Oryctolagus cuniculus: one gene and its partners. The protein of the gene in region 3 purifies or fractionates together with the protein of the main gene of each other region. This does not show direct contact. Links are inferred from orthologs where the notes say so. Each region holds a gene or a part of one and is shown on either strand. Other genes may lie near its edges.

Evidence for each region. Proteins that work in one complex are often made in the same cells at the same time.
Region 1: the proteins of ING4 (region 3) and BRD1 purify together in Homo sapiens (affinity purification with mass spectrometry; 5 studies listed by BioGRID and IntAct, with this or other methods). This does not show direct contact. The link is inferred for Oryctolagus cuniculus from reciprocal best matches to the Homo sapiens genes ING4 and BRD1.
Region 2: the proteins of ING4 (region 3) and JADE3 purify together in Homo sapiens (affinity purification with mass spectrometry; 3 studies listed by BioGRID and IntAct, with this or other methods). This does not show direct contact. The link is inferred for Oryctolagus cuniculus from reciprocal best matches to the Homo sapiens genes ING4 and JADE3.

Annotation. Positions count from the first base shown.
Region 1 is NC_091442.1:122,833,869-122,841,206, reverse strand, and holds part of BRD1 (bromodomain-containing protein 1), read left to right. Parts: intron 1-1,498; coding exon 1,499-1,996; intron 1,997-3,479; exon of another isoform or gene 3,480-4,389; intron 4,390-7,338. UniProt on the Homo sapiens protein: Scaffold subunit of various histone acetyltransferase (HAT) complexes, such as the MOZ/MORF and HBO1 complexes, that acts as a regulator of hematopoiesis.
Region 2 is NC_091453.1:32,612,565-32,619,902, reverse strand, and holds part of JADE3 (protein Jade-3), read right to left. Parts: intron 7,223-7,338; coding exon 6,752-7,222; intron 5,017-6,751; coding exon 4,899-5,016; intron 2,981-4,898; coding exon 2,070-2,980; 3' UTR 1-2,069. UniProt on the Homo sapiens protein: Scaffold subunit of some HBO1 complexes, which have a histone H4 acetyltransferase activity.
Region 3 is NC_091440.1:102,848,027-102,855,411, forward strand, and holds the start of ING4 (inhibitor of growth protein 4), read left to right. Parts: upstream 1-2,488; 5' UTR 2,489-2,559; coding exon 2,560-2,596; exon of another isoform or gene 2,597-2,684; intron 2,685-7,385.

The DNA.
Region 1 (7,338 bases), on a different chromosome or scaffold from region 3:
AGGGGTCTGCACTCCTCACAGCCCCTAGCAAGGGATGGGGAGGCCGAGGTTCAGGATGATGGCCTGTGGGGGTTGCACTGGGGTGTCTGGACATCCCCCTGTCAGTGTGTGGGGAGCCTGTCTGGGGAGTTCTGTGGCAGCAGCTGGGAACGTGGGCCGCACACGGTGACCAGAAGAGCCTGCCCCGGTGTGGTGGTGCTGTGGGGAAGAGTCCCCAGCGCAGTGGTGCCTTGCCAGCCTGGCGGGAGCACCTGAGCTGGGCAGGGGCCTGTCCACCCTGGGCTCTGCTGCCCAGGCAGGGTGGGTAGTCCAAACACTGAGCCGGAGGCAGGAAATGAGGTTTGAAGTGCCCCTTGGCCTCCAAGGACAGGGTGGATGGGAGACTGTGAGGGCATCCTTGGCGGAGCCTGGACCGGGGCCTCAGTGCTGTCTGTGTCCCATTTACAACGTTTATGAAAGGCCTTATTGAACAAAAGGCTGTTTGTGGCCGTCACACCTGTCCCGGGAGTGTGACCCGGCCGTGACTGCTCTGTTACGCGCTGAGCAGTGGCTGGAGACGGTGCCTTTCAGCCCAGAGCGGCGGTGCGGCTGCTCGCGGAGAGCGAGCCCCCAGCTGCCCTGACCGGGCTGCGCCGCTCCTTTACGTCGCTGGAAGGAAGTTTGCCGTCCTGTTCCCGGAGTGTCGGCTCCGAGTTAACTGGGTGCTCAGAGGCCTGCCTGAGCGAGTGTGCAGCTTCTCGTTTTCACAGGGACGTCTGTATTTAAACATCAGCCTTGCAGACGTCCTGTGGTTTTCAGGAAGCGTGAGGTTTAATAAAACAAGAAACGTGCCCAGTGGCCACAGGCACGGCGCACGGCTTAGGTCATTGAAGGGTTACTCTGGGTTTCACGCCATGCTTCCTGTGGCCAAAGCCAGTCCTGTTTGGAAGGGAGCTCAGCCGTAGCGCGGCGTGGCGTGGCCTTGTGGCGTGGCCTTGTGGCGTGGCCTTGTGCCGGGCTGTCGGCCGCCCCAGGCTGCACCAAGGATGCCTGTGCCGTGTCGTTTGCGAACACCCCGATTTTCTGTGGGTAAATTTTAACCTCGTCTGTGCCGAGGTGACTGAGCCTGTCTTCCTGGGGACGCTCCGGTCAGAAGCTGACCTGGGGCCCGGGGTAGAGTCCGGGAGGCCCGTTTGAGGTCCCCTTGGTGGGGTGAGGTGTTTTCTTCTTCAAGGTAAGTGAGTTGTTGATTGTAGAAACTGCGTGAGCTAGAGGGCTGTGCGGACTGTTGTGTGCATGAGACGGTCTCGCAGCCCGGTGCCACACCATGCCGTGGCGCCAGGGAGGCGCTCACAGCGTGGCCGGCCCAGGGCGGCCTCCCGCTTCACAGTCGGTTATGTGGGATGCTTTGTTTCCTTAACTGAAGTAGTGTTTTGGTGGACTCACATTTATAGTAAGTTTTATGATAGATTTTATAATCTTCAGTTTTCAAAAATCACTTTATTTATAATTTTTTCAGGAGATAAATCTCCCCCTAAACTTGAACCATCAGATGCATTACCTCTTCCTTCAAACTCGGAGACTAATTCAGAACCACCAACCCTCAAACCAGTAGAACTCAACCCCGAGCAGAGTAAACTATTCAAAAGAGTCACATTTGATAATGCCTCACATAGCACTTGCACTCAGAGCGCACTGGTGAGCGGACACCCTCCAGAGCCCACCCTCGCCAGTAGTGGCGATGTGCCGGCGGCGGCGGCCTCCGCGGTGGCGGAGCCATCAAGCGATGTAAACAGACGCACCTCTGTTCTCTTCTGCAAATCGAAAAGTGTAAGCCCCCCAAAGTCTGCCAAGAACACTGAAACCCAGCCAACTTCTCCTCAGCTAGGGACCAAAACCTTTTTGTCTGTAGTCCTTCCGAGGTTGGAGACTCTACTGCAGCCAAGGAAAAGGTCGCGGAGCACATGCGGAGACTCCGAGGTGGAGCAGGAGTCCCCGGGAAAGCGCCTGGACACAGGTAAGCGCCGTGGGCTGGTGGCACCGCGCCCGCAGGGGCTGTGCTTCGGGCAGCACTGTGGTCCTTTGCAGAACAAACCATGCCGTTTTCTTCCCGAAGGTCCTAAACCCTGGGTCCGAGGGTGCCCTGCGGTGCGGCCTCGTGTCGCTGGCCCTGCGCTCTGCCCTGAGCAGTGTAGCGACGGGAGTGACGTCTCCTGGGGATGGAGACTGCTTGTCTTGAAGGTGGTGTGCACACCAGGCGCACTGGGGCCCTTGAGTGCCGCGTCTGGCCCGGCCGCCCTCGCAGCCCCCAGGAGGGTCTCCTCAGCCCTGGCCCTGAGCCTCCCGTGTACCACTCACACCATGTAGCTGCAGCCCCGTCAGCACGCACGTGGGGATTCGGACGGCCGCAGGGCCGCTCAGGTGCTGCTCGTTGGCCGCGGGCACGCGTGTCGCCGCTGCTCTGCTCCCCAGTCGCTCCGTGTGTGCCCACGCCCCCGCTGCGCCTCTGTCCTCGGCCCTCAGACAACAGCCTTGGAGGTGCCAGGGGCCCGTCCTCACCGCTCCGTCCAGGAGTGTTGCTGTGGTGTTTGTCCTTCCTGTCTGTCCGTCCTGCCTTCTCTACTGGCTGTGCCCTTGGGTAGTAAGGAGCAGGCCCACCCACCCCTGCATCCATGGTGCCCACCTGAGGGTCTTCACTGGATGGATAGAGCATGCTTTCTCCTGTGAGCGGAGGTGATTCCTTCTGAACTCCATTTTACTGTGTAAGAGTGTTTTGCACGTGTAACTACAGAAACGTTTAGAGGCTCCGTCCGTGTCCGTACGTGCTGGCCATTGACTAGGGTGCCATCTTGGGAATGTGGCAAGGCCTTTGTGTTTGGCAGTCACGGGGCTGCCTGGAGCCTTGGAGGACACAGGTGCAGGTGTCGGGGCTTTGTCAGCTCCTGGGGTTTCTCTCCCCAACTCCAGCTGCTCTCAGCCAGGTCCAGCGAGAGACCCCGGCACCTTGTTTCGAACTCCAGGGCACCAGGCCCTGGCTGATGTTGCTGGCCAGCCGCAGGCCTCTGCTCCACACACGGGGCATGGAGCTCCGTGTGGTGCTCCGCGTCCTCAGGGCTGCACGACTATCCGTGGCATGGGGTGCAGGGCAGGGCCCCACCGCAGAGCTGCTGGCGGGGGCAGTGGCCTCCCCGCCCTCACCTGGGGCCCGTGCCGGCACTGGCGGCTTCCAGCGGGTGGCCTCGCCTGGCCATCTAGGTCCTGCTGGGCCTTTGTCCCTGAGGGCCTCTAGCAGTGGACTAGTTTTACCAGCCTGGTGGCCGCGCCCTGCAGACCTCCCGTGGGTCTCCTCTGTGCCTCTCCACGCTGGAGGGCAGCTCTGCCTGTGTGATGGCGACGGTGAGTCGCAGGCGGTCCTCACCGGGTGATCCGCGCTGCACATTTCTGGAAGGATGCTCTGCCCGTCGACCCTCACTGAACAGACTTCTGCTTTCTTATTCCAGAGTGGCAGTAGATGTCAGTGGATCGCGTGAGCCCCTAAGCCTGACTCTGAGCGGCCTGCGAGCCTTAGCGCTGAGACAGACCTCAGGAGCGCGAGGCGGCAGCCGCTGCGTCCTCTGCCCAGCCCGGGCGGGGCTGGGTGTGGTCTGAGTGTGGCCAGTCCTCCGTCCATCTGGCTTCGCCGTCACCTGAACCTTGTGCTCTCTGCACGCCTGGATTTCTTGCTCCGAGTTTCACTTCTTCGCATTCTGAGGACTCGAAGTGTTCCGGAACCTTCCGCGTTTCCCCTGGGTCATCTGTGTGCTCTGAACTTGTAGGGAGCGCTCTGTGTCCTCCAGTGCACGCGAGCTTCCGAGTTAGATTGAGAACGGATTCCTTCATCCTGGACTCTCACCTGTGGGCCCGCTCCTGTCACCGTCCCGTGCCGTAGGCTGGGCCTGTGGTGCCTTGGGCCCTGGGGAAGCCTGGAGCGGGGGCCTGAGCCTGCGGAGCCGCCCTGGCTTGCAGCTTCCTTCTGCTGCGACTGCTTAGTTACTTCCAACCGAGAAGCGTTGGCCTGGCACGGGCTGCTTGCGCCTTCCTTGAGACTGTTGCCGCGAGGTTCCTGCCAGGCCCGTGGTTGGGGGTGAAAGCAAGTCTTGTCTTCTGCATCTTCGCTGTTCGGGGAGGAGTCGGTGTCCCTTCCTTTCAGCCAGACCAGGTTGTCGCTCGCTCTTTGGGTCCTGGTCATTCCCTTTTTCCCGCAGCTGGACAGTGGCTGTGCGCAGTGGCCCTCTCGGAGCACAGAGGCCCCTGCACCCTTGCATTTCCGCATCATCCGCATGGATCGCATTGGAGCCATCAGTTCCGCCGTCCTCTAGACAAAGCCAGCCCAGCCCCGGAGGAGACCTGCGCCCTCCAGCCCACCCCTCTGTAAGTCAGAGCTGGCGGTGGGCTGAGCTGGCGGGCGCCTTCTGCCTCTGCCCTCCCTCTGAGGGGAGCCCGGAGAATGCCCCTCGGCTGGAGCACCTGCTGCGGCACAGACCGCGAGCGCCAGCTCTCCGCGCCTGTCCTCAGGTGCCCACACGCCTGCCTGCCGGGCCAGGTCCTGCACGTGGCCCTGTCTGGAGACGGCTCTGCCGTGTGTCCTCACTCGGTTGTTAGCGTCTTGGTTTCTGGATCTACCTGATACTCCACCTCCCTTGACGTCTTCCCTTGACTGGCTGCTGTCTCGTGCTGGCCGTGCCCCGTGCCTGCCCTTGGGGACCTCCTTCATGGAGCAGGGTGGTGTCTGCGAACTTCTTTGTTGCCGAGTTTGTTTTTAGGATTGATTGATTTATTTGAAAGGCAGAGTTAGAGACAGATCTTTCATCTGGTTCACGCTCCAAATGGCCGCAACAGCCAGGGCTGGGCCAGGAACCAGGAGCTTCATCCCGGTCTCGCACGTGGGTGCCAGGGCCCAAGCACTTGGGCCATCTTCTGCTGCTTTCCCAGGTGCATTAGCAGGGAGGTGGATCAGAAGTGGAGAGCCGGGACTTGTACCAGTGCCCGTATGGGTGCCAGCGCTGCAGTTGGTGGCTTTCCCTGCAGTGTAACGGTGCCGGTCCCCGTGGCTGAGTGCCTACTGCAGGGTGGAGAAGACACAGCCGTGTGGTCATTTTGGCACTTCTAGGAGTAAGAGCGTGTCCGCAGCTTGGCCGGTGTCGTCGCACTGGACGTTCGTCCTGCACTGGGCTTGGTGTGTGTCTGAACTCGTCAGGTTCATCTGAGCTCTGGGGCAGATTTGGCGATGGCAGCAGTGGGGACCAGGATGCAGACCCCAGCCCCTGTCCTCCCGCCAGGGGCTTTGCCCTGTGCTGCAGGCGTGAGCTGCTCAGGGTGGGTTCCCGGCCTCTTGCAGAGGGTTGATAGGCTGTCTGGGGGCCCTCTGGGGTCCCCTCCCTTGCAACCACGGCCTGCTTGGCTCGTCAGAGTGGTTGGGCCGGCGGTCCTGGGTAGAGTGGGCTCCTGGCAGGAGCCCTGTTTTCACTCACTCCCCTAGTGCGCCAGCTTCACTCAGCATTTAAAACACCCTGTGCCGGAGCCCCCGCTGTGTTCTGGGTGACAGGCGTGTGTGTGGTGTTCGTGGGTTCCCCCGGGGCGTCACCTGTGTGGGTCTCGAGTCTGGAGTGGGGCTCAGAATCCTGCGGGACACGTGTCCTTTGAGGTCCTCGGAGGGCTGCTGAAGGGGGCGGTCCCAGTGGGTTCCACCCTGAGGCTGCAGCCCATGGGGCAGGCTGGGAAGCCAGGGTGCAGGCAGAGGCGCTGGGGCGTGCCGCCCTGGCTGCAGAACCTTAGCAGCCTGAGCCCAGGCTCCCTGGCACGCCCTCCAGGGCCTTGTGGCCCGCGTGGGCCCCCGTTCTGCAGAGCTGACCGGAGCCTTGGTCTCTCCTTCAGCCTTTCCTCCGTCCCCTTACCAGGGGGAGGCCCTGGGACCCTCTGCCAGGCTTCCTCGTGCCCCCTGCTGGGAAGGGTGACTTGCTGTCACCTGCCCCGCCCCCTGCTCGCTGGCACTCGGCCGTGTCCTGGGACAGCCTTGTCCACAGCTGCTCTGGGTGCTGCGCGCCCTCCGATGAAACGTGGGGGGGGGGGCGTTGAAAGGCAGAAGTGTGCGCGTTCTCTCTCTCTGAATGGAGGGCTTCCCGAGGCCTCCCTCTCGTCCCTCAGTGTGGAGTTGGGGGCCTGGCCTCGTGTGCCCCGCTCTCTTGCAGCACCCCAGGCTGGAGCTGTGAGTGGCTGTGGCTGGTCTTCCTCCTCCCCTAGTCGGCCACACCTGCCTGTGGGCCAGGCTGGCTGCCGCTTGGCTCCCAGGCCGTTCCCATTGGAGGCCCTGGCACAAGTTGGAGATCACTTTCTACAGAAGTCTGCTCAGTCCTGAGTCGGTGTCCACAGCACAGGCCGGCGAGGCCGGGCCAGGGCACCTGGACCGCGGTGCTTCAGTCTCTGGCCTCGGCCCCACGTGTCCATGGACCGTTGAGTCTGTGGCTGGGAGCCCTGAGTGCTGGCGCTGGAGCCGGCCCAAGGGCACGGGCTCTGCCCGGCCCTCAGGTGTCCCGGGTGGGCAGGCTCCCAGGGCAGAGCTGGGTGTCGGTGTCTGAGGAAGTAGCACTTCCCACTTGGGCCCTGGAACTGTCGCTGGGGGCCTGAAGGTGGGGCCTGACCAGCCTGGTGTCGCCCCGGCATCTCCGATTCTGCAGAGCTTCAGGTCGCAGCGAGCGTGACGGCCCTGCCTGCTGTACATCCTGCTGCAGAGGTGCTGGGCCAGGCGGGGTCCCCCGCGCAGCCTGTGGACCAGGCCCCCCCCCCCCCCCCCCCCCGCAGCCTCTGGCACCAGGCAGGGTCCCCCCCGTGCAGCCTCTGGACCAGGCGTCCCCCCCCCCCCCGCGCAGCCTCTGGCGCCAGGCGGGGTCCCCCCCGTGCAGCCTGTGGACCAGGCGCCCCCCCCCCCCCCCCCCCCCCGCGCAGCCTCTGGCGCCAGGCAGGGTCCCCCTGCGCAGCCTCTGGACCAGGTGGGGTCCTCCTGTGCAGCCTCTGGCACCAGGTGGGGTCCCCCCCCCACAGGCTCTGGACTAGGCGGGGTCCTCCGTGCGTGTAGCCTCTGGCACCAGGCGGGGTCCCCCCCACGCAGCCTCTGGCACCAGGCGGGGTCCCCCGCGCAGCCTCTGGCACCAGGCGGGGTCCCCCCCCCCCCCCCCCCCCCCCGCGCGCAGCCTCTGGGCCTCAGCCCTGTGAAGTGAGCTGTGCTCGCGGAGGACCAGGCTGGATCCAGTCACTGGTCTCAAAGTGTTTCCAAGAAATGGAATGGGTGTAGTTGGTTTTTAATGGGATTCTGTCTTAGGAAAA
Region 2 (7,338 bases), on a different chromosome or scaffold from region 3:
ATGAAAACAAATTAATACAGAAGATTAAGAGGTAATACTTCAAATAACAAGAAAATGTAGCAAATGCATTTTGGGGCAACAGAAGGCTCCTTCATTTACCTAGGAAAATCCTGTAAAAATATTACAACTCTATTTCCCTGACTGGAATGATATTAAGTCAATACTCTCCCAGTGGTGTTACATATGGAATTTGGCTGAAGCACTGTTTTGATGTTTGCTTTTCCTCCCACTCGGAATTGAAAGGCATGAAAGTACACCAGCTACTAGTGGCAGTGCTGGCCTCTAATGTACGGAGTTTACAGCACAGCTCCATTATAATCTCATTGCCATGAAGGTGTCAAATGAACAGCTACCCCAGGAGAACGCAAAGACAAAGCATAGAAATCTAGTGCACAAACGGGAAATTCTCTTCCTCCGTTTGGATAATTTTCATAGCTTTTTCCATTCAAACAAAATACAGGACACTTACAACACATGCTATGGCATGTTCACACACGTACATAGGCACAAAAGAAATTTTTTGAAGATGTAGTCAAAGGAGAAGCAAAATACAGATGTTTTCAGAACCGGAGAGGAAAAAGCAAAGGAACCCTTTAACAAGGCTACAAGAACAAAAGCCAGGTTGGGGGGGTAGGCGGGGAGGAAAACCTTGTGTTCCATATGGATGGAGAGAAGGCCCCTGCCTTGACTGACTGGCACCTATTGTAGCTAGGCTGTTTCCCCAGTTAGAAACTTTAACAACTGGATGTGACCTTTTTTTTGCCTGAAAATTTCATGACCACACTTTCCCAAACTAGAAGAAAGAGAACATTAATTTAAGGCTAAGAAGAAAAGAGAGCTGAGACTTATATTCTGCTTCACATTTTAAAACCTGTAACATTTCCCCCTTCTTTAAATGGGAAGCAGACATGTTTTTATCCACCCCCCCTCAAAATTTAATTATTCTCTTTCTCCCAGAAATTCATCAGGGCTGATAGTTTGGGAACAGAGTATAAGCAACTTCTGAAAAAATGGCTCTAGCCTTACTGTTTGGGAACTTGCCTTGGATTCAAAATTGCTACAAAGCTAAATTATATCCATGTGTTACACACATGCTTTCAAATTCTGTTTGACAATAAAAATCTGTTTCAAAATTAAAGCAGGTAAGAATACTTAACCTCTGTGCACTTTATATTTAATTATACCTCAATAAAAACTTTATAAACATTAAAGCAGGTATACAAAAACTGTCAGCCAAACTCATTTTAGTCAAATTTATTTGAAAACAACAACACAAAACCCCTGACCTGGTACAAATACCCCAGAAATGGTCTCAACTTTTGGAAAGGCTCTGGGATCCTTCACAAATGACCAAACAGAGAATCAGAGCATTTTCCTTGGAAGTAGTACTTTTGTACTTCTGTAAACACTATCCACAAGTTAGCCTCTTATGCTTGTTAGCTGCATGAAATAGTTATGAGTGCGTCCCCAACAAGCAAGTCTAGGAACAGGCACTGGACACTTGTAAGCAGTAGCAGTATTGATTCAGTACGTCAAGATACTGTGAAAGGAACTCAACCTCGCGCAGAGCAAAGGAAGAGGGTAGTGAGTTTGACAGTATCTGAGAGTTGGTCTCCTGGCTTAGAGATACCAGTGGAATTAGAAATGTCCTACAGACAGGAGCTCTCAGAGTCACATGCTGTAGTTTCAAAAGCTAAGTAGTTTTAGTGTCTGGTAATCATGGTCTCTTGCAAATCTGTTAGTGACGCAAGGACACTTAATAATGTATTCATCAATGTGTTAATATAATTGGAAAGCTGCCCTGTATTTACTCAATAAATACTCTGGGTCCAGCTATTCCCAACAGCCTCTAACAAACCAACCTCTGGACAATCTGCAATTCTTGTAATGTGCTTGTGAAAACGAGACTTTGAAACCTTTTCAAAAACTGCAAGCAAATTTTACTGTGGAAAATTCTCTTTCTTTTCTCCATAACTCCCCCTAACATATGCTAGAATCCTTTTGGTCTATAGGCTTTCCCCAATAAATGGGACAAAGGCAAAGGCTGAGTTATATTTGCGAGTATCTCATCACCTCTGCGTTGAACTGTGGGAAAGGGGATGTGCTTTGCTTTTGCCATGGCACTCCCGTCTAGAGTCATGGGAAGGATTCTCCCTGTCTGAGCTCTCTCTCTTTACCCGAACTTTTTCTCTATTCCCATCACTTTCTGTTTCTGAGTCACTCAGCTCCACATCTGGGCAATACCCATCATTTTCATTATATGGAGCTTGCCCTGCAGGTAGCCTGAGAAGCTGCCTATCCCAGAACTGTTCCTTGGGATTCACATTCTTAGTTGGCTTCATATAGCACTGGAGGTCCTCAGTGGTCTTCACCCACCTATTGGTGGTCTCTTTAAATGACCTGCTGAAGTGATCCATACTGGATTTTCTAAAGCTGCACTGACTAGCCAAGTGGGGGCTGCTCACGGACTCCTGGTCAGAGAACATCTCGTGTGAGCTGTCTTTTTGGGTGACATTCCCAGACCAGTTGCCCTCCAGACCATTAGGTGCGGCAAACTTGGAGCTAGGCTGATTTTTCCCATTCCCAATGGAAGACTGTCCCTGGAGGGCAGCCTGAAGGACCAGAGGCTTTCCCTGTGACTGCCCATGATAGAACTCCAAAGATGGACTTCTCCAACCAGGACTGGAATCCTTTGCTTCACCTCTGGAATGGCTGAGAGTGGCTGGCAAACAGTTATTCTTGCTCTCTAGTGGATGCCTTGGAAACGACTGCATACTCATTTCTAGCGACTCCTGAAGTGCCTGCAGGCTCCTTATATCGTTACCAGAAGAGGTGCTGTCAGGAGAGCAGGACTGGTGATCAGTCTCTGTGGAGCCATTTCTGCAGTCTTCTGCAGCTGACTTGGGCATTTTTAACTTTAAGGTAATTCTTGGTGGTGGGTAGAACAATGAGCTTTCTGGTGTAGTTGTCAAAGGAAGTCCTGAGTTCAAAAAGAAAATACTCATTTTAGCAACTGATTTAAATAACAATGTCCGTGCTTATGGCAGAATTAGGGCACATACCTACTTTCACATGGGGTAGCAGGCAGAGTAAGCTAAACCAGAAGCTGCAGCTAAGTGTGCTACAGACGAAAAGCTTAGCAATGACACTGTTTGCTGTATGGCAATCCTCTATCTCTTCACCTCTGTTCTCCTAGTCCATAAATGACCACAAAGAGTTGTCTGCCGTCTCCTGCATCTCCAACTCTGTTCCTTCCATTTCTGAAAACAGTGTCATGAGCAATGTGGAACAGGGTCTCCCAACTGTATGTCTGTGTGTTTGTGTGTGTGCATGTGTGGGTATTGTCTAGCACTTGGGATGTGCCTTAAACACAGACTTTCCAGATCCCCTCCTCCAATAACTCTTGGCCTTCCTAAAGCAAACCAAATACAAACCTACAGAAATGTGGCACAGGTTGTGGTAGTACAGAGTATGTGTGTGCTCTACCCTGGCACTAGAAGTGCCTGTGAATTTTAGGACCTTAACCTAGAATAATCCCTTGACTACAAATGACAATTTTGGAGGTGTGGATGAGGTTTTGCAGTGGTAAGGCCAGCAGAAAAGAACTACAACATTTCTGCCAGTGGCCAGCTATGGGCCTGGCCTGGGGAGCATGGGCAATCAGCTACCTGGTGATGTTACTCAAAATCACAGGATAGATCTAACTCTATTATTCTGAGTGCTCTGAAATTAAACAAAAAAACACTATCAAATAATTCCTCTCTGCATATTACTTAATCTTTTGTCATTATCATCTTACTGTAACCTCACAAAAATGAAAAATTGAGAGGACAGCTTTTAGTTGTCCCAATGGGCAGCATTTGTTCAAGGGTCCGTATGGAATATCTACAGCCCCCACCTCTACCTGGGGTTGCCACCTGCTGATGCTGCAAGCTGTAATGAGGCTGATTCCTACCAATCAGAAGCCATGTGACTAGGGGCCAATTTCCTCAGTGGGGGGTGGTGGTGGCAGGGGGGCTCCTCCCTGCTGTCCTTTGGTTTGCCTTGTTTTACCTGGCATGTTGCTCTTCAGCTGCAAAGGCGGCTGGCCCCTTCTACACCACTCTGTGACTCTTGCCACTCACAAATGCCTCAGAGCCTCTGCTGCCTACCTGACACTTCATTTCTGAGTGTTTCTTTTGCTCTATGGCTGGCCCAAGGCAGGAGCTGATTCTGCACATCTTGCTTAGTGAACTCTAGTTACTCAGGCTCTGCCATCAACCTCTGTGTTAAATGAGGCACAGGGAAGCTATAGGTATCGCTGATACCTATAGCTATTGGCTGTCGTCATTCCAGCCAAGCTCCCCATGCTTAGGGCACTGTAATTACGCTGACATGCCTCTCTCACCAAGTGGGCAGTGTATGTCGCAGCTGAGAATTCAGTCTTGCTAACCACTCTGTCTTCTAACTCAGTTCTTAGTCCACAGTAGGTGCTCAAAAAATATTAGTAAATAAAAAGAGCCCAGATCTGTAACTCCTAGTTAAGGATTTGTTTTAATAGACTATTATTAAGCTGAGTAACTCTGGGGTTAAGTGTTTTCTGTAAAATGGGACTAGATCTTATCACATTGATTTCTAAATGTAAAAGAATAATTTTGTGACTCCAACTAATGGCCTTGAATATCTCTCTGGGATCTAGATCATCTGTCTTAGACCTGAAACACCCACAACCTTACTCTGGGACTTTTTGCTTCATGATTTGACACTGCAAAGTTGTATCAGTGCTAGATGAAAGCAAATAAGACATTAGACAAGATATTAAAAGGATTTTTCAGTGGACAATTGACATACAATCTAAATTGCTAAAATAGGTTAAACAAGTTTACATATGCATTAGGACATCTTGAATAACAGGTTACCTGCAGCAATTTCTTGGTTAATAAGCTGGACTTGCAACCCGAAGATCTGTTCCTGTAGTTTGTTTTGTGACAGTTTCAGCTTCTCACGTCTGCTTATCATGTAGCACAGGTTTCGGACCTGAAAGCCCAATCCCCAACAAGCAGATTTGTTTGTCATGTTAAACAACCTGACAGTTGAAGCTGTTAAGCTTCACTGAAGACAACTGAAGTCAGAAGAGGGGCTGGAGGGTTGGTGAAAACAGAAGATAGAACCCAAGGGTCCTAGAATAGTCACTCCACAGAAATGCACACAGGATGGTCAATGATGGGATCATAGTTTCCATATATATCAATAGCACAAGCAAAATGCTCCCAAACAGCCTCCTGAAATCTGCTCTATTTGTAGTATCCTGGAATCAATATTAATCTGAGCAGCCATGCTGGGAACATCAACTGATGGTTTTAACAATTCAGCTTTGGGGCTGGTGCTGTGGCATAGCGGGTAGTTGCCACCTGCAATGCCAGCATCCCATATGGGCACTGGTTTGAGTCCTGGTTGATCCACTTCCAATCCAGCTCTCTGCTATGGCCTGGGAAAGCAGTGGAAGATGGCCCAAGTGCTTGGGCCCCTGCATCCCTGTGGGAGATCCAGAAGCTCCTGGCTCCTGGCTTTGGATAGGCACAGCTCCAGCCATTCTGGCCATCTGGGGAGTGAACCAGCAGAGGGAAGACCTCTCTCTCTGTCTCTGGCTCTTTGTAACTCTGCCTTTCAAATAAATCTTTAAAAAATATTCAGCTTTCCCTTCAGATATGTGAGTACAAATGATGACAATGCTGAATCCAGTACAATTTTCTAAGGAGTGCTGGAACAGCAGGATAAAGGTATGCTGAGAAAGTGGAAGTGTTTTTTTGGCTCATACTTTGAGCTCAACAAGTTTCTACAACCACATGAGTAAAGTCCTCACTTTCTTATACTGTGTCCCAGTTTATTCATCTGTAAACAAGGATGATAACAGTATCTTTCCAGATGCATACTAGGATTAAATGAGTTAACATTTATGAAATGCATAAAACACTATTGACAACAAAATAGTAGATATTATATAGGTACATATTAAATTTTTAAAAGTGAGCCAGATATGTCAATTCTCTTTCAAATTTGGTACAGAAACAATTCAAGTCACTTTATAATTATGCAATTCTCTAGGATAAACATAGGACCTAACTTATCTTTGAACCCCTGCAGTACCTAATTTAGTAGATATGATACATATGAGTTATACTGAATTGTCTGGTTGAGTGGATCTCAACCAGGGATGATTTTGACCCCCCGTGTACATTCGGTAATTTGAAGACATTTTTGGCTGTCATGTTGGGAGTCATGGAGGTGCTACAGTATCTAGTGAGTAGAGGACAGGGATGCTGCTCATCCTATAATGTCTCCTACAACAAAGGACAGTCCCCTACAATAAACAACTATCCAGCCCAAAATCTCCACAGTGTTGAGTTTTTGAAACCCTGATTTAACACGTTCTTTAATAAAATTCACTAAAGCTTTCTTCAGGTGGCAGTATCAAAATGTGTCAGTAAAATACAGTTGAGTCAATTTAGGCTCAAAAGTGAATAAAAGTAAATTAAATGAGAATTTATTTCAAATTAAAAGTTCAGAGCATATAAATAAGGCCTCTCCAATCCCCTGAATGTGCCTGCTAAAAATTTAAACAGAGCCCAATGTCTGGGGCCACGACGATATCATAACATAAGCAAGGTCTCAGAAGCCCACACCATAACGAACTATTTTTAAAGTGGAAGTGGGTACCCCATTTCTATGCAGACCATAACACATCAGTCACAGGTGGTGGTGGTCACCTTACCCTTTCCAGGTCCTGCCGAAGGTGCATAAACATTCTCATGCGAGTGTGAATGCTTTCCTCTTTTGGCTGTATCAGGGCATTTTCTTCATCTTCCTTCGGAGGAAATAATGGCTTATTGAAGTTACTTTTGCGCTTCAGTTTCCAGTAGTTATAGATATAATCCACAGCCAGTGTGGGCATCCCCAGCTCTGCAGCCACATCTTCCATTCGGACGAAGGAATAGAACTCTTCCTCCAGCTCCCGAAGCTTCTGGGCCCGCAGGCTGATTTTCTCGCTTTTGGCCTGGCTCTGCTCTGTAGCCCTGTGGTGGGGGTACTCGGCCTCCCTGAGTTTCTGCCTGTTTTGGCTATGCTTGAGGCAGTAGGACCTGAACTTCACTTCATCCCCCTCATCTAGGATGGTCTTCATCTCAAGGCTGTGCTCGAAGGCACAGGTGACGTGGAAGGCAGTGATGCAGCTTTTCACAGAACACTACAAGAAGAAAACAGCTGTCAAGGTTGGGGGCGAGAGGGAGAGCCCTATGTCTCTGGGCCTAAATTGACAGCTTTTTAGGAAGCAAAAGAAAGACAAGGAGAAAGTTGGTCCTA
Region 3 (7,385 bases):
GTGAAGGGTGGCTTGGAAGTGTGGGTTATGGTTTTCCTTGGAGCCTCTCCCCATTCTCAGCCAGCCAAGGCCCTATACACTCAGTCTACCTATCCCAAACCCCAAGGAGCTGTGGGATTTTGTGTTCTCTGAAACTCCAAAACAAAGGGTGTTGCAGAGAAGGGGAGAGACAGGGCAAACACACGGACTGGACTTAGCTCCCCAGGTGCCACGGTCAGATGCCGGACACGGATTTATATATAAATATATATATAAATATATATATACCCACTCATCACGGCCATCTTTGTTGTAACCATTTCTGTGTTTATAAATGCATTATCTCTGAGAATTTTCATATTTGATGTTTTGTTTATTTTTGTCTTTTTTTCCTCCACCCTGTCTTCTGGCCATGACATTTTTGTTTCCTTTTGACTTTTTAAAAAAAAAATCATGGCAGATTTCAGAGAAAAGAGAAAATTTTAAAAAAATCAGGAAACAAGTTGTTATAAAGCAGTTTAAAAATGAAGAAAAAAAGAAACTTATGTACAAACTAAGGGGTGTTTTTAGAACATTGTATAGAAATAAATTCATGTAAAAGGATCAGAGGCAGTGGAGCTACTGATGTGAGCAAGTGGGACAAAGCTCTGGGGACATGTTCAAGGCCAGTGCTGAGGGTTTACGCCAGTGGGTGTATGAAGAGTGAGTGCTTGTGTGACGAGGCTCCATGTGTGTAATTCCCCAGCCAGAAAAGGATGCCCTTTCATTATCTCTTAAGTGAGATCTTGGTTTATGAGGGTTTCTACACACTAATTCTGTCATGAGGTTTGCATTGCCTAAATATGTGAGAATAGGGTTTCAGTTCTCACCATCAAAAAAAAAGAGAAATGGCCTCTCCAAAGGACCTATGATGGGCTCCAGGAATTGCAGTTGGCAAAGCGTGTACACACACACCCTGTGCACCTTCAACCAGAGGCTCCCAGTGGTGGGAACCCTCATGGGTGCAGGATTAACAATGCAGAATGGAGTTCTGAGGAGTGAGCATGGTCTGGAAGCTCATACCTGGGTCCGGACCCCACCACCTCCAGTGTTGGCCCCAGTGCCTCTTGGAGCTGTTAATGAAGGAATTTGGTAATTTCCAAGATTTACTTTCAAGAATTGAAGACTAAACAGAGAGTTGTGACCAAACTCCAACACCTGACAACTGGTGGATCTCTGGGACTACTTGGCAAACAGTGTTTGGCATGGCACAGATCCTTGGTTATTCAATAATGCCCACTTGATTTGCTGGGCAGGCAAGATAATGGCTACTGCTGCAATACTGAGCAATTAGCAAGTATATTTGGTGACCAAATATGCCAGTGTTTGGTCGCTTCCTGAGCATTTACTGCCTCTACTCACGGCAGAAAAGGGCGTGATGGTCTTCACCAATATTAGAACAGGAACCTTTTTAAGGATACACAGACACTGCAACAACCCTGTGAGGTAGGTACTGTTCCTACTGTATAGAAAGTGAAAAGTGCACAGATTACTTGTCTAAGGGCAAGGCACCTGTAACTTCAGAGGGGAGATCCTGTACCCTACCACTGCTCAGTGGCCAACTTGGGGGTCCACCTTGCCCTTCCACGTACTTATATTACGTGACTGAAAATATTAGAAACCTGCCACATGGCATTGATAGTAATTGCGATGGACGGGGTGACTATATAACACCACTAGTTGGTTACGGGTTTTGAGTTCTGATTCTCCCATGAGGTACAGCCCTGATGGAAAACATTGAGATCACTAGACTATAGCTGACCAGGGCGATGGCTGGCATTTAACTGGCCTAATTGTGGTAAGAGTTCCATGCCCCAACCCCTTCATAATTATGTTAACATCACATAAGAACTCAGAAGGGAAGCAAAACGTGAGATTTCCTCAGTGACACGAGGGTAAGGTCAGAAGCACTACATTTGTGCTGCTGATAAACGCTGTGCAAAATTACCTTTATTTTCTAATTGTATTTAAAAGCAGGAAGTTTATAAATAATGAATCAACTTGAGAAATAATCCAGGGGAGATGGTGTTCGTGTGAACACAAATACGGAGCGTTTAAATCTCAGAGCCTCATACTGCTTTCCAACTTCCTAGCTTGCCTAAAAGTCCTGTTTCAGCCGGGACCTCCTCTGCTTACCAGACTCAGACTCTGCAAAAGAAAAAAGTTGGCCTCCCTTCTTGAAGAAAAGAGACCTTTACGGGCCCAATCCTAAAGAGAAGCTTCTATCCCCATTACCACACATCGCCGTTTTGGAGGGGAAAAAAAAAAAAAAAAATTTGCAAGAGAATGCAAAATGGCGACCTCCAGTGACGTCATACCTGTCTCGGTCGCGTACTGGAGTCTCAGTAAGGGCGGAAGTCGGCCACAGCCGCCTCACTTCGGGCGCTCGTGGCTACTCACGCAAAAGGAAAACATCCAACGTCGGGCGGATGTGTCCGGGCAGGTAATTTACTAAGGGCGGAAGTTCTTTTAAGGGCGGAAATACTATGACCCAAGAATAGCTTCCGGGGCGAATCGGAAGTTGCTTTGTTTTGCTCCAAGATGGCTGCGGGGATGTATTTGGAACATTATCTGGACAGTAAGAGCAGGCTGGAGGAGGGGGTCAGGGGTCGTAGAGTGGTGTGGGGATTGGGGCTGAGAGGATCTGTGGTCCCGAAGTCCCGGCGGTGAGCAGCTCCTAATTGTGCAGGGGTTCCGTGGGAGGCAATACTGAACGGTGTCAAGAAAGAGGGGGCGGGGCAGTAGGGTCGAGGCCTCTGGGTTGAGGGTCGGCGAGGGAGGACTTGCGCGGAGGGTCTCAGGATTTGTCTTAAATGGCTGGTCGACGAAACACGGAAGATTTTGCCGCTCCAGTTCTTTAGGGTCCCCAGCCTCGGGGTAGATTGGTTCCCCCCGGGGGTGGTTCAGAGTCGGTGTCACCCACTGCCTTTTGGAGCAACGGCCAAGACCTGCTCTAGTCTCCTGGTTCTTTCCCAAGTGGTTTCTCTTGAGGCTGGGGTGGTGTTGAGTGACCGCTATCAGATGGTGAACCGGAACGCTTCAGGGAGTAAAGGTCTGATTCCCTTCAAATGGAGATTAGTGCTGTTTATGCCGTTAGTGTAACCCACCCCTTCACAAAGCCTGGCCCCTGCTGCACTTACGTTTGTCTTAGTGTCACCAGTCATTCATTCGACAAATACTGAGTTCCTGCTATGGGTCAGACATAGTGAGGATTTTTTTTTTAATTTATTTATTTGAAAGGCAGAGGCAGAGAGGGAGAGGGCTTCCATCCACTGGTTCACTCCCCAAATGGCCACAATGGCCAGAGCTGGGCCTATCCAAAGCCAGGAATCTGGAGCTTCTTCCAAGTCTCCCAGTAGGGTGCAGGGGCCCAAGGACTTGGGCCATCTTCTACTGCTTTCCCAGGCCATAGCAGAGAGCTGGATTGGAAGTGGAGCAGCCAGGACTTGAACCAGCTCCCATATGGGATGCTGGCACGCAGATCAGAGCTTTAACCTGCTGAGCCACAGCGCTGGCCTCATGAGGATATTTTTTAAAATGAGGAAGACACAGGCCCTGCCCTCAAGAAGCACGTGATCTAGTAGAAGTCAGATGTTGCAAACACTCATATATATATATATATATATATATTTATAAAAGTGTGGCAGGAAATATTACAGATATAAGTACAGTGGTTAACAGTAGAGAGAAAGGGGCTAATTACCTCGGGATGTAGGTGAGGCTTTGCAGAGGAGGCAATATTTGAACAGAATCTTGAAGATTTAACTGTTTACTTGCTGTATGGGGAAGGAAAGGTAATGCTGTGGCAAAGGTATTGTGTGATGTGCTTGTCGCAAGATCATGGGACGATGAGGTCAGAGTCTGATATATACAAGGAGACATCCCAAAGCTCATGGAGAATAGAATTAAAAGGTGTTTATTTTGGTCCAGGTTTTTTATTTGAAACATTTATTTACTTGAAAGGCTGGGTGACAGAGAGGGAGAGAAAGAGGTCTTCCACTCTCTGGTTCACTGCCCAAATCCCTGCAACAGCCAGGGCTGGGCCAGCTGAAGCCAGGATCCAAGAGCTCCATCCAGGTCTCCCCCATGGGTGGCTGGAACCCAAGGACTTGGGCCATCTTCTGTTTCCTTCCCAGGCACATTAGCAGGAAGCTGGATTGGAAGTGGAGTAGCTGGGACTTGAACTGGCCCTCTGATATGGGATGCTGGCATTGCAAAAGGCTGCTTAACCTGCTGCACCAAAACACTGCCCCGACCCAATTATTTTTTAAAATCCTGGCGTATATGAGATCCTCAGAAGGCTCATGGCAAGTGCATATTCTGAAAAATATATGCATTGAATTCAGTCTTTTCTGGACCAGAACTTTTTTTGAAGATTTATTTATTTATTTGAGAGTTGGAGTTACAGAGAGGGAGAGACAGAGAAAAAGGTCTTCCATCACTCCCCCAAATAAATAGCTGCAACAACTGGGGCTGGGCCAGGCCAGAGCCAGGAGCTTCTTCTGGCTCTCCCACATGGTGTAGAGCTGGAGCGGAAGTGGGGCAGCTGGAACAACCTGGTGCCCATACGGGATGCCAGTCCTGCAGGCGTGGCTTTAACCTGCTGTGCTGCAGTGCCAGCCTCAACCCGATTTTTCTGTATTCTGTTTTTCCATTAATGTGTTAAAGTACTGTCACATGACCCTAAAAAGAGAGCTTGGGAAATGAGACTAAAGGAGGAGGCTAGAGCTAGATTGGGCAAGCTCTTTTTTTTTTTTTTTTTCCTAAAGATTTATTTTATTTTTTATCTGAGAGGCGGGGTTACAGAGAGGGAGAGACAGAGAGAGTGAGCGAGAGCAATCTTCCATCTACTGGTTCACTCCCCAAAGGGCCACAACAGCCAAGGCTGGGCAAGCTAAAGCCAGGAACCTGGAACCTCCAATCTCCCACATGGGTGCAGGAGCCCAAGCACTTGGGCCATCTTCTGCTGCTTTCCCAAGTGCATTAGCAGGGAGCTGGACGGGAAGTGGGGGGCCATGACTCAAACCAGTGCTCATATGTGATGCCAGCACTGCAGGCAGCAACTTAACCTGCTACGCCATCGCTGGCCCCTGGGCCAGGTTTTTTCATCCAAGCTAAGAAGTTTGGATTTAAACTCCAGTGATTATTTTGAGAATAATGCTTTGTGGGTTTTTTATTATTTTTGTTGTTTTAAGATTTATTTATTTATTTATCTGAAAGCAGAGAGAGAGAGAATGAGATCTTCCTGGTTCATTCCAGCAAGTGGCTTCAGTGGCTAGGGCTGGGCCAGGCCAAAGATACGAGCCTGAAGCTCCATCTGGGTCTCCTACGTGGGTGTCAGTGACTCAAGCACCTGGGCCGTCTTCTGCTGCTTTCCCAGGCACATTAGCAGGGAGCTGGATCAGAAGTGGAGCAGCTGGGGCTGGAACTCGTGCTCTGATTTGGGATGCTGGATCACAGGCAGCACTGTGCCACAATGCTGGCCCTCAGTGTTATTTTTATAAAGGAAAATAAGCTACGTATGATAAATTGGATCCAGATAAATTTGGTAACGTGGGGATCAGTTAGTGAAAACAGTCTGGGTCAGAGATGTGGGCCTGATCTCAGAGAGTAGAAGTTAAATATGCCAGGAGTTAAATATGCTGACTGAACGAGGGGTTGAGCAAGAAGGGAGAATTTCCGGTGACTTCTTCCTGCTGGAAAGTGAGGCTGATGTGTACCATCAGCAAGATGGGAAATCCAGCAGAAACAACAGTGTGTTTAATTCCATTTAGAGGTAAGCATAGGACTGGTTATTATAGCTATGAGGGCAAACAAGATTTTTCAGGAAAACAAAGTGAGAAAATGAGAGGACTGAAGTGTAATCTCAAGAAAACATTCACATTGAAAGGACAGACCAAGACATGTCAGTGTTGAAATCACCAGGAGGTGTATAATCAGATGTGAATCCTGAGAGGCAGGAAGTTACTCCAAGGAGGGAAGATGGTGCCAGCTGCTGCATGACATTTATTTTTCGGTTATTTTTGAATTGTAGAGAAGGCAATCTGCCCTCCGCTGGTTCACTTCCCAAATGCCAGCAACGGCTGGAGCGAGTCAAAGCCAAAACCAGGGCCAGGAGCTCACTATGGGTCCCCCATCGAGTGTCAAAGATCCGGCTGCTTGCAGCATCACCACTGCCTTCCAGGGTGCACGTTAGCAGGAGTGTGGGAGCGGAAGCAGAGCTTGGACTCCACCCCAGGCGTTCCCACACAGGTGTGTGAGTCCAGAATTGCATTTTAATTGTTAGGCCAAACATCTACCCCTGCACAGATTTTTTTTTTTTTTTTTTTTTTAGAATAGAAGTAATAAGAGATCGTTTGATTGGCTAAGTCATTTTTGATTTGAAGCACTAAGTGACTTGGCAATAGCAGGCCTGAGGTGCGTTAAAGCAGTAGAGGCATTTTGAAAGTTTGAGGTAGAGTCATGGGAAGAGAAAAAAATGTTCCTTTATGGAAAAATAAATTATTACAAGTATTTATTGAGTACCTTCTGTATGCAAGGCATAATTCTAAACACTAGGGAAATAGGTGAACGAGACAGACTTGTCTCTGCTCTTGTGGAGAGCTAGGGAGACAGATACCAAATAACTAATTGTGTAGTTACTAAAGCTGGATAAGTGTTTTAAAAAAATTGAAGTAGGCTGGCGCCGCAGCTCACTTGGCTAATCCTCCGCCTGCGGCACCGGCACCCCGGGTTCTAGTGCCGGTTGGGGTGCCGGATTCTGTCCCAGTTGCTCTTCTTCCAGTCTAGCTCTCTGCTGTGTCCCGGGAAGGCAGTGGAGGATGGCCCAAGTGCTTGGGCCCTGCACCCCCATGGGAGACCAGGAGGAAGCACCTGGCTCTTGGCTTCGGATCGGCGCAGCACGCCAGCCGTTGTGGCCATTTAGGGGGTGAATCAACGGAAGGAAGGCTTTTCTCTCTGTCTCTCAATGTCTAGCTCTGCCTGTCAAAAAAAAAAAAAAAAAAAATTTTGAGGTATAGGGGCCAGTGCTGTGGCTTAGCAGGTTAAGCCACTGCCTGCAGTGCAGGCATCTCATATGGGTGCTGGCTCGTGTCCCTGCTGCTCCACTTCATTCCAGCTCTCTGCTAGGCCTGGGAAAGCAGTATAAGATGGCCCAAGTCCTTGGGCCCCTGCACCTGTGTGGGAGACCCAGAAGATGCTCTTGGCTCCTGGCTTCGGATCAGCACAGCTCTGTCCATTGTGGCCATCTGAGGAGTGAACCAATGGAAGGAAGACCCCTCTCTCTGTCTCTCTGCCTCTGCCTCTCTCTAACTCTGCCTTTCAAATAAAATAAATCTTTTTTTTTTTTTTTAATTGAGATACAGTAC